Linked DNA regions of Mus musculus. The main gene of each other region encodes a partner of the protein of the gene in region 2 in a complex. Links are inferred from orthologs where the notes say so. Each region holds a gene or a part of one and is shown on either strand. Other genes may lie near its edges.

What was found. Proteins that work in one complex are often made in the same cells at the same time.
Region 1: the proteins of Kpnb1 (region 2) and Pthlh are in contact, whole or in part, in a crystal structure (PDB 1M5N), measured with the Homo sapiens proteins. The link is inferred for Mus musculus from reciprocal best matches to the Homo sapiens genes KPNB1 and PTHLH. Residues at the interface, in NP_002256.2 of Homo sapiens: Val55, Tyr104, Pro106, Gln111, Glu152, Tyr156, Gln159, Asn196, Leu199, Asn200, Gln239, Glu274, Gln278, Glu281, Asp288, Ile295, Ser298, Glu299, Asp339, Asp340, Trp342, Val350, Met353, Glu395, Trp430, Arg434, Glu437, Asn469, Trp472; in NP_945316.1 of Homo sapiens: Tyr103, Thr105, Gln106, Glu107, Thr108, Asn109, Lys110, Val111, Glu112, Thr113, Tyr114, Lys120, Thr121, Pro122, Gly123, Lys124, Lys125, Lys126, Lys127, Lys129.

The regions. Positions count from the first base shown.
Region 1 is NC_000072.6:147,261,178-147,265,296, forward strand, and holds the start of Pthlh (parathyroid hormone-related protein preproprotein), read right to left. Parts: upstream 2,837-4,119; 5' UTR 2,408-2,836; intron 2,219-2,407; 5' UTR 2,194-2,218; coding exon 2,093-2,193; intron 1-2,092. UniProt on the Homo sapiens protein: Neuroendocrine peptide which is a critical regulator of cellular and organ growth, development, migration, differentiation and survival and of epithelial calcium ion transport.
Region 2 is NC_000077.6:97,170,798-97,174,443, reverse strand, and holds part of Kpnb1 (importin subunit beta-1), read left to right. Parts: intron 1-1,166; coding exon 1,167-1,391; intron 1,392-2,730; coding exon 2,731-2,922; intron 2,923-3,646.

The DNA of each region.
Region 1 (4,119 bases), on a different chromosome or scaffold from region 2:
TCATGAGCTAGTCATTACTATTTACCTTCCAATGGTGTAGGAAGCACACCGACAATAGTCTCCTGTCTCTAAAGAGGTACCAATCTTTAGCTTAAAAAAACAAAATCAATATATCTTAAGCAGTGTTCCTAAAATTGGATATTACAATTTGACGGTAAGTTAGAATTTCTTTCATGGAGCTAGCCTGATCTTGGGAAGTAGTCCATAAATGTTTTGTCCAGCATGTGTGCAAAAATAAAGAGTTTTTAAAAACCCTCCATTTGGCTATGATGATTTTAACTCCCTCAAAAAAAAAAAAAACCTCCATTGTGATGTGATGTGCTATTAAGCATTAGGTGTGGTAGTGAGTATCTCACAGTTTTATTAACCATGGCCAAGTGTGAGCGTTTAACTACACTATTATATTTCACCTACAAACAGAACGAGAGCAGAGTCCCTAGCTGCCGAATGGTTTCTGAGGAGTAGTTCTATAATATGCAACAAAGAAAGAGTTAAAAACAGCTGTAAGGACAGCTTAGTGCTATTTTTATTCCGTCATTGTAGACTCAAGCATGGCTCATTTACTCTCTCTCAAAAGAGAAAATAGGTATTAAGCAACTTTAAAGAAAAAGTTGGCTCTGTTCCAAGACAGAAATTCTTATCCAAATAAATACAGTATGTAAGTGTGCTTTTTTTAAAAAAAAATTTCAGCTCATCTGTATTTATATTTGGATGTTAGGTAATTGAATTTCACACAAGTCTCAAAAATGAGGGAAAAGTCTCAAGACAATTTCGAGAAGTAAGCCAGCAGTGCACTCACTCTTGGGACAATGCTGCCTTATCTCCAGTACAATGCTCTACACAACTTGCCTTAGGAGATTCATAATAGAGTTTCATTTTCGTGCCAAGATCCAGACATGTCTAAAGTAATTTCATTTAAAGATTTTCTGCCGAACTAATAAGAATAGACCAGAAGCAGGCGCTGAACAGTCGCCTTTTTGTATACCCTCGGGAGTTTACAAGAAGCACCAGGAACCTGACTGTAAATATTAGGTAGATATTGCTGCTTCTCTTGTGAGGTGAGCAAGTCCTCCTAATGCCTTCTCCAGAGCCAAACGACTCATTTCTTAAACTTTATGGTTTTCCCATCTTGAACAGAGTCTGTGCTAAGAGAGCAGCCCTAGACGGTATTACATCGACATCGATGAGACAGACAGATTCAAGCATGCCTACTACTTCCCAAACACTGCGGCGATATTTTGCTGGTGTTCTTAGATGTATTCTTATCTCAAAGTCAAAATCACTCTTTAAGAAATCAAAAACTCAACCACCAGCTGAGAATGCCGAACTACAAGCTTTCAGACCACAATGCAAATATTTCGACTCCGGATTAAAGAACCGTTAGCAATAATTCCAGGAAAAAGAAAGTTTCCACGCCTAAAGTCCATTTTGGAGACAAGCACACCCGCCTTCCTGAATGGTATCGATACTAAAGTTGGACGTTTGCCATTAAAAAGTTGTTACTACTAAATTATATAATATGCTTTGTTATGTAACACAGTCCTGTTTTATATGCTTAAAATTATGTCATTCATAATAAAACTAGACACAACGTTTTTGCTTTTCACACACAGACTGCCACCCACATTTAGACATATCCACTCGCTTGTGTGCGCGCACACACACACACAGACACAGACACACAGACACACACACAGACACACACACAGACACACACAGACACACACAGACACACACAGAGGCACACAGACAGTTCCTGAATCCCCCAGTTTCCTGCTGAGTTTCAGAACCTCTCGGTGGATAAAGTAACTTTGGTGGTTCCCTGCAGACAGATATCTTGCCGGCCCAGGTTCTGAAAAAGACTCCCTCTTATGGAAAGGCACATCAAACTTGTTTCGTGCCTGTCCATTTTGGGGTCTCACCAGCTCTCTAGATGGCTTTCCTGGGCTCAGCCCCTTGCTAGCAGGTACCCCGTGACTGTGTCCAACTCAGGTTGGGACCATCAGGGACCCCTAGGCTTCCTCAGCATCGCCCGCCTCAGCTGGCGCTGGTCTTCCCCACCCCTCACCCCAGGAGGAAGACCGGTACTTACAGCCTGCGGCCAAGCCCCTCCACCGAACGCCCGCGGGAGGGCACGGAGTAGCTGAGCAGGAATACCAGGACACTCCACTGCTGAACCAGCCTCCGCAGCATCGTGCCGCTCGCTGGCTCTGGGGACCTGCAAGAGTGGAACCCGAGGGTCAGTCCCGGCTCTCCATCTCTTCCTCGCACTGCCCCGCTCCCTCTTTTGGAACCCCGTGGCTTCCCAACAGCCACTCCAAAGTCGAGGGCATCTCACAAGTTAGGAGGAAAAAAGAAAACAAGAAAAAGAAAGCAAAAAAGTGTCTCCGAGCCCCTGAGCACTTACTTGTGTAGGAATCAGCGCCTCTAACTGCGCCTCTCTCAAACCGCACAGGCAAAAAGGGACCCGAGAGGGGAAAAAGCAATCAGAGAGCTTCCTCTGAAAGAAGAGCGAAAACCGGGCGTTTTACATAGGCGTCGGGGATGCGTGGCGCGTTGCTGTGGCTCCCATAGCAATGTCTAATTAGTCTTGGCGGCAGCACTCTGGGTCGTGGGGCAGGTCAAACCCCTCTTCAAACGCGGGTGTTCCTCAGGAGTCAGCTGTCCTGCGCACCGGGCCTCTGGGTGCACAGCCACTTGCGGCAGAGCGCGTATATATACATAGCTGTCGGTCTACCTCCTTCGGTGGGCTGGTTGCTTCCGGAAAGTTGATTCCACAACGCCCTTGAACAAGTTGCAGGCGCGCGTGTCGTGGATGCGAGGGCCAGGTGGCCGCGAGGGCGGGTTCCGGCAGCGGGGCGGAGCGGCCCAGCTGGGGCGGCGCAGGTTGGAGAGTAGCTGTGAGCCCAGCCCTGGAAGGTTCACACGCTCCGGGGCCAACCTGCTGAGAAGTGAGCGAGTCGCAAAGAGGTGGCGCCCGAGGAACGCGCGCCGGCGGAGCAGGCAGGGGTGAGCGGGCCGGCGGGGGCGGGGAGCACAGGGGAGCCCGGAGCCACGGAGCCCCACCCCAGTCCTGGCCCGCGTGGGCCGATCTGACGCTCTCCTCCTCCTGAACCGGCCTGCTGTCGCCTGAGTGGCAGGTCCAGGAGTCCAGGTCCCTACAAACAGCAAGGAGGAACCCCGGGTGGCCTGAGAATCCCAAGAGTCCCAAGCTCGCTTGCAAGCTCGCATTGCACTGCATTCCTGCCTGGTGTGGCCTTCTCCTGGGGAGGGGACTAAACCTAGCACCCAGAAGAGCAAAGGCGATTTTGGGTCTTACTGTTTGGGAAGGGTTGGGGACATCACGTCTGGAGCAGGTCCTAGAACGGGTGTGTGAGCAAGGAAGAAGACCCACTTTGTGATCACAGACGACCTGGAATGCGCAGAGTCCTTCTTTCTCACCTTCTTCTGATAACCTACTCTATGTCCTGATAAAGATTCACTGAGTGCCCATTTGCTTCAGCTTCTCAGTGCTGCTGGGCAGGGAGTGGGGGTGGGGGGTGGGGGAGAAAGTTGTGAGTTACTGATTGTGGGTCTAGAGGTGTGTGTGTGTGTGTGTGTGTGTGTGTGTGTGTGTGTGTGTGTGTGAATACTAGTTTCCCCCCAGGTCCTAGATCACGCTGAAATGAACATGGGAACCACTCAAAGAAGTTTGCCTTCTAGACAATACTGCTGGAAAATTTCATCTGACTCTCTAGGAGGCTAGTGTCACTCAAAGACCTTTGTCAGACCTGGGCTGTGATGCTCTACAGACTTCTGGGGTGGGTACTCCTAGGACTTCTCACCCCTCCCCTCCCCTAAGCCTTGCTGCTCGCCAGCAGTTAAAGCTTTCAGCTGTCTTGGGCGGGGTTCCCTCTCATCAGAAGCCCTTGTCTCTTTCCCTTGATTCCTTTAAACTTCATACTTGTAAAAAAAAAAAAAAAGTTGGCTTCTTCCCACCTTAAAAAGAAACCCGGGAATTTCCATAACGTCCTTTAAGTGGTTAAGAATTTGTAACTGTTAGACATGTTTACATGGCACGAAAAGAGAAAGTTTGAACCTGTGACACTCTGTGATAACCCTTCCCCAAAGATGCTGGAG
Region 2 (3,646 bases):
GTGCTGGGACTAAAGGCAGCCAGAGGTCTCATGAGCACTGGATTTTATACCACTGCTCTCCTCACTTTATCCATTGCATTGTTTCCTGTTATCATGTTTATGAACTGTTACTAAGAGAATCTCGCAGTGTCCTGTGTGACTCTGAGCTGTGAAGTATTCTGTGCCGGAATGTACATGTTTCTCGGTGCATATCAGTCTCAGAGTTTGTTAGGAATATGCAAGTTTAATAGCTTTGACCCTTTTTTTTAAATGTATGTCTCTGTGTGTGTTGCTTCCATATGTCTGTACACCATTTGTGTGGCTGCTATTCTTGGAGGCCTAGAGAGGGTATCAGGTCTGGAGCTAGTAGCTATTGAAGACAAGCCCCTCTACATCTCTCCAGCATCTGCAATGCTTACCAGGAATGCCTTTACTTTTGAATATATTTGCTATATTTTTTCCTCCTGAACAGACTTTTTTTTTTTCTTTTTTGAGACAGGGTTGCATGTATCACAGGCTTATCTCAAACTTGATATATACTTTGACCCTTTTTCCACCTACCAGTGTTGGAGTTACAGGGGTGTTGTAGCATGGCTGCTATATGTATTGTTGACAACCAGTCTCAGGCTTTGCAAGCCCTCTACCAACAGCTACATTTCCACCTGCTGTTGGTTTGAGACAGGATCGTTGTACACCTGGTTAGTCTCAAACTAAGATAGTCCTCTTTCCTCAGGCTCTTAAGTCTTACTTTTACAGGTGTGCTCCACCAGCCTGGGCATTCTTATAGGTAGTGGAGGTTTCTTAATTCTATTGTACATGATAATTGTATTCTTCCATCTGTTTCTTGGGGTGACGTAGGTTATGCTGTGATGAAATGTGAAAAAAGTTTTTTGTTTTTTTAAATCAGTGTTTTATATTTTACTCCCTGATTAAGCTCTAATGATACTTGGGAGTATATAGCAAGCCTTCTAAGTGAATTCATTGCAAGAAAAGCTTACTTAGGCTGGGCGTGGTGGCGCACGCCTTTAATCCCAGCACTGGGGAGGCAGAGACAGGTGGATTTCTGAGTTTGAGGCCAGCCTGGTTGCAGGACAGCCAGGGCTACACAGAGAAATCCTGTCTCAAAAAAAAAAAAAAAAAAAAAAAAAAGCAAAGCAAAGCTTACGTAGTGCCACATCTGTCACCAGGATGAAAACGATGACGACGATGACTGGAACCCTTGCAAAGCAGCTGGGGTGTGCCTCATGCTCCTGTCCACCTGCTGTGAAGATGACATTGTGCCGCATGTCCTTCCCTTTATTAAAGAGCACATCAAGAACCCTGACTGGCGATACCGGGATGCAGCAGTGATGGCTTTTGGCAGTATCTTGGAAGGACCAGAGCCTAATCAACTGAAACCATTAGTCATACAGGTAAAGCCCGGGGAAGTTTTAGATTTGAAATGGAATGGGGGTGGAGAGTGCGCACATGTAATATATGTGTGACTCTAAATAATCACAAAGATTTCCAAATAATTGAATGGTTCGTAGCACAGGCCTACAAACCCAAATCACACATTCTTGTGGGGATTAACAGGTCAGTTGCTCAAGGGTGCCACCCTTAACTGGATAATAGTGAGACCATCCTATGCTATGCAATACATTTCCTGTCTTAGTATAGTTTCTTGTCATTAATGGTGAAATATATAACTTTTAAAATTTAGTCATGACCAAGAAACTTGAAAAAAAGAAAAGGCTTTACCTTATATCTCTTAACTTAGCACTTGTTTTCTGTAATTTTTGGAGAGCAGGATATGGAGCTCTCACTATGAAGATTGTCTTACCAGGATCTTTTCTTATTTTCTTTTTTTTAAATGCTACATTGTAAGCATTTTCCTGTTGCTTTTGGACTGGAGAGCCTCCACATATATCCCAGGGTAGCCTACTGCCTCAGCCTGTGAGTGCTGCCATATCCACTAGCTCTGAGCTCCAGGGCTCACAACGAATGTCTTCACTCAGCCTTCTAAGCAAATGGGAATTATACTGTGCAGTGCTTAGCCATTTACTCTGTGTTTGTTTGTTTGTTTGTTTGTTTGTTTGTTTGTTTAGGGTCCTGTGTGTTGGGCCTTAAATCAGGATGTGGGGTGATGCTGGCCTTGAACTCCAGATTTTTCTACTTCCACTACCCAAGTGTTGGGTAGATAGGCTCACCCCCCCATTTCTATAATTTTTAATGGTATTATTCTAGTCTTTGAACAAAATTTACATTATGTAATGTAGTCTTTCTTATGGAAATATTTTTATTTTGCTGGTATAAATGACAGAAGAGCTCATGGTAATTTAATTTTGTGCATAAAGAACTGAGTCTGTCAGGATAGAAGCCAGTGCCACTGTGATCACTTCTTGTCTTTACCTGTTCCATATAGACTGCTTGAAAGTATCCACTACAATCTTGAATCATATATGGAATTTGGTGAAGGGAAAGAACATTTTAAACTGTTTTGTTTACTGTTATTATTTTGTTTTACAAAGGATCTAAGAACATTCTATCATTATATGGGGCCAGGGATTGTTACTATTTCACATGAGGTCTTTGTAACTCAGGCTGGCATCAAACCTGGTACATACATAACACATACTAGCCACGGGTGCCCTTCGCTGCCCTTAGATCCCAAGTGCTGCAGATACAGGCATGTGCCACAATGCCCGTGAGTATTTCTTCTGAATGATAGTCGTTATGAATTCCTTTTGTTTTGCTTTATTGTATTTACAGGCTATGCCCACCCTAATAGAACTAATGAAAGACCCCAGTGTAGTTGTTCGAGACACAACAGCGTGGACTGTGGGCAGGATCTGTGAGCTGCTGCCTGAAGCCGCCATCAACGATGTCTACCTGGCACCCCTTTTACAGTGTCTGATTGAGGGCCTCAGTGCTGAGCCCAGGGTGGCTTCAAATGTGTGCTGGGTAAGGGATTTTCTTCCTGGTGAAGGCAGGAGCTTGTCCGAGCCATTAGGAGGTGTGGGAGAGAAAGGTTACTTGTCTCATTGAAAGGCGTGCTCTGAGTTCTGTCTCTTAATGTCTTGAGAAGCCAGAGGGAACTGTACTCCGATTCGTTCCCAGAGCACTTGGACTGCACCTGCTGTACTCCTATGCTTGTTTTTAGATGAAAAGCTTTGTTTAAATGGGGTTTTTTGTTTTTATAACAAGGAAAAAGACAGGGATGAAAGCCAAAGGGGGTAGGCAGCCTCTGTGCTGACTCTGTAGGCTGTGTAACTTACTGGGGATAGAGTTTGGGAAAGGAGGAGTGGGGCTAAAATCCTGTGGTCTGTGTGTGTTTGAGACAGTTTTTCTATATAGCCCCGACTGTCTTAGAACTCAGTCTGTAGACGAGACAGGTCTTGAACTCACAGAGATCTGCCTGCCTCTGCTTCCATCACCCGGCTAAAATCCTTTTTTAAGAGTGTAAGAATAGGAAATGGTAGGCCTTAGTAAAAGAATTCTGCCACTTAGAGAGCTGGGCAGATGACTAGGCATCCACAGTATAAATACTTGAGGTATATGAGTGTTTGGTCTGTATGCATTTATATATTCCTTGTATCTGGCTGGTTCCAACCCCTGGAACTGGAATTACGTGTAGTTGTAAGCCAACTGTGGGTGCTCGGGACTAAACCTGGATCCTCTCTGCAGG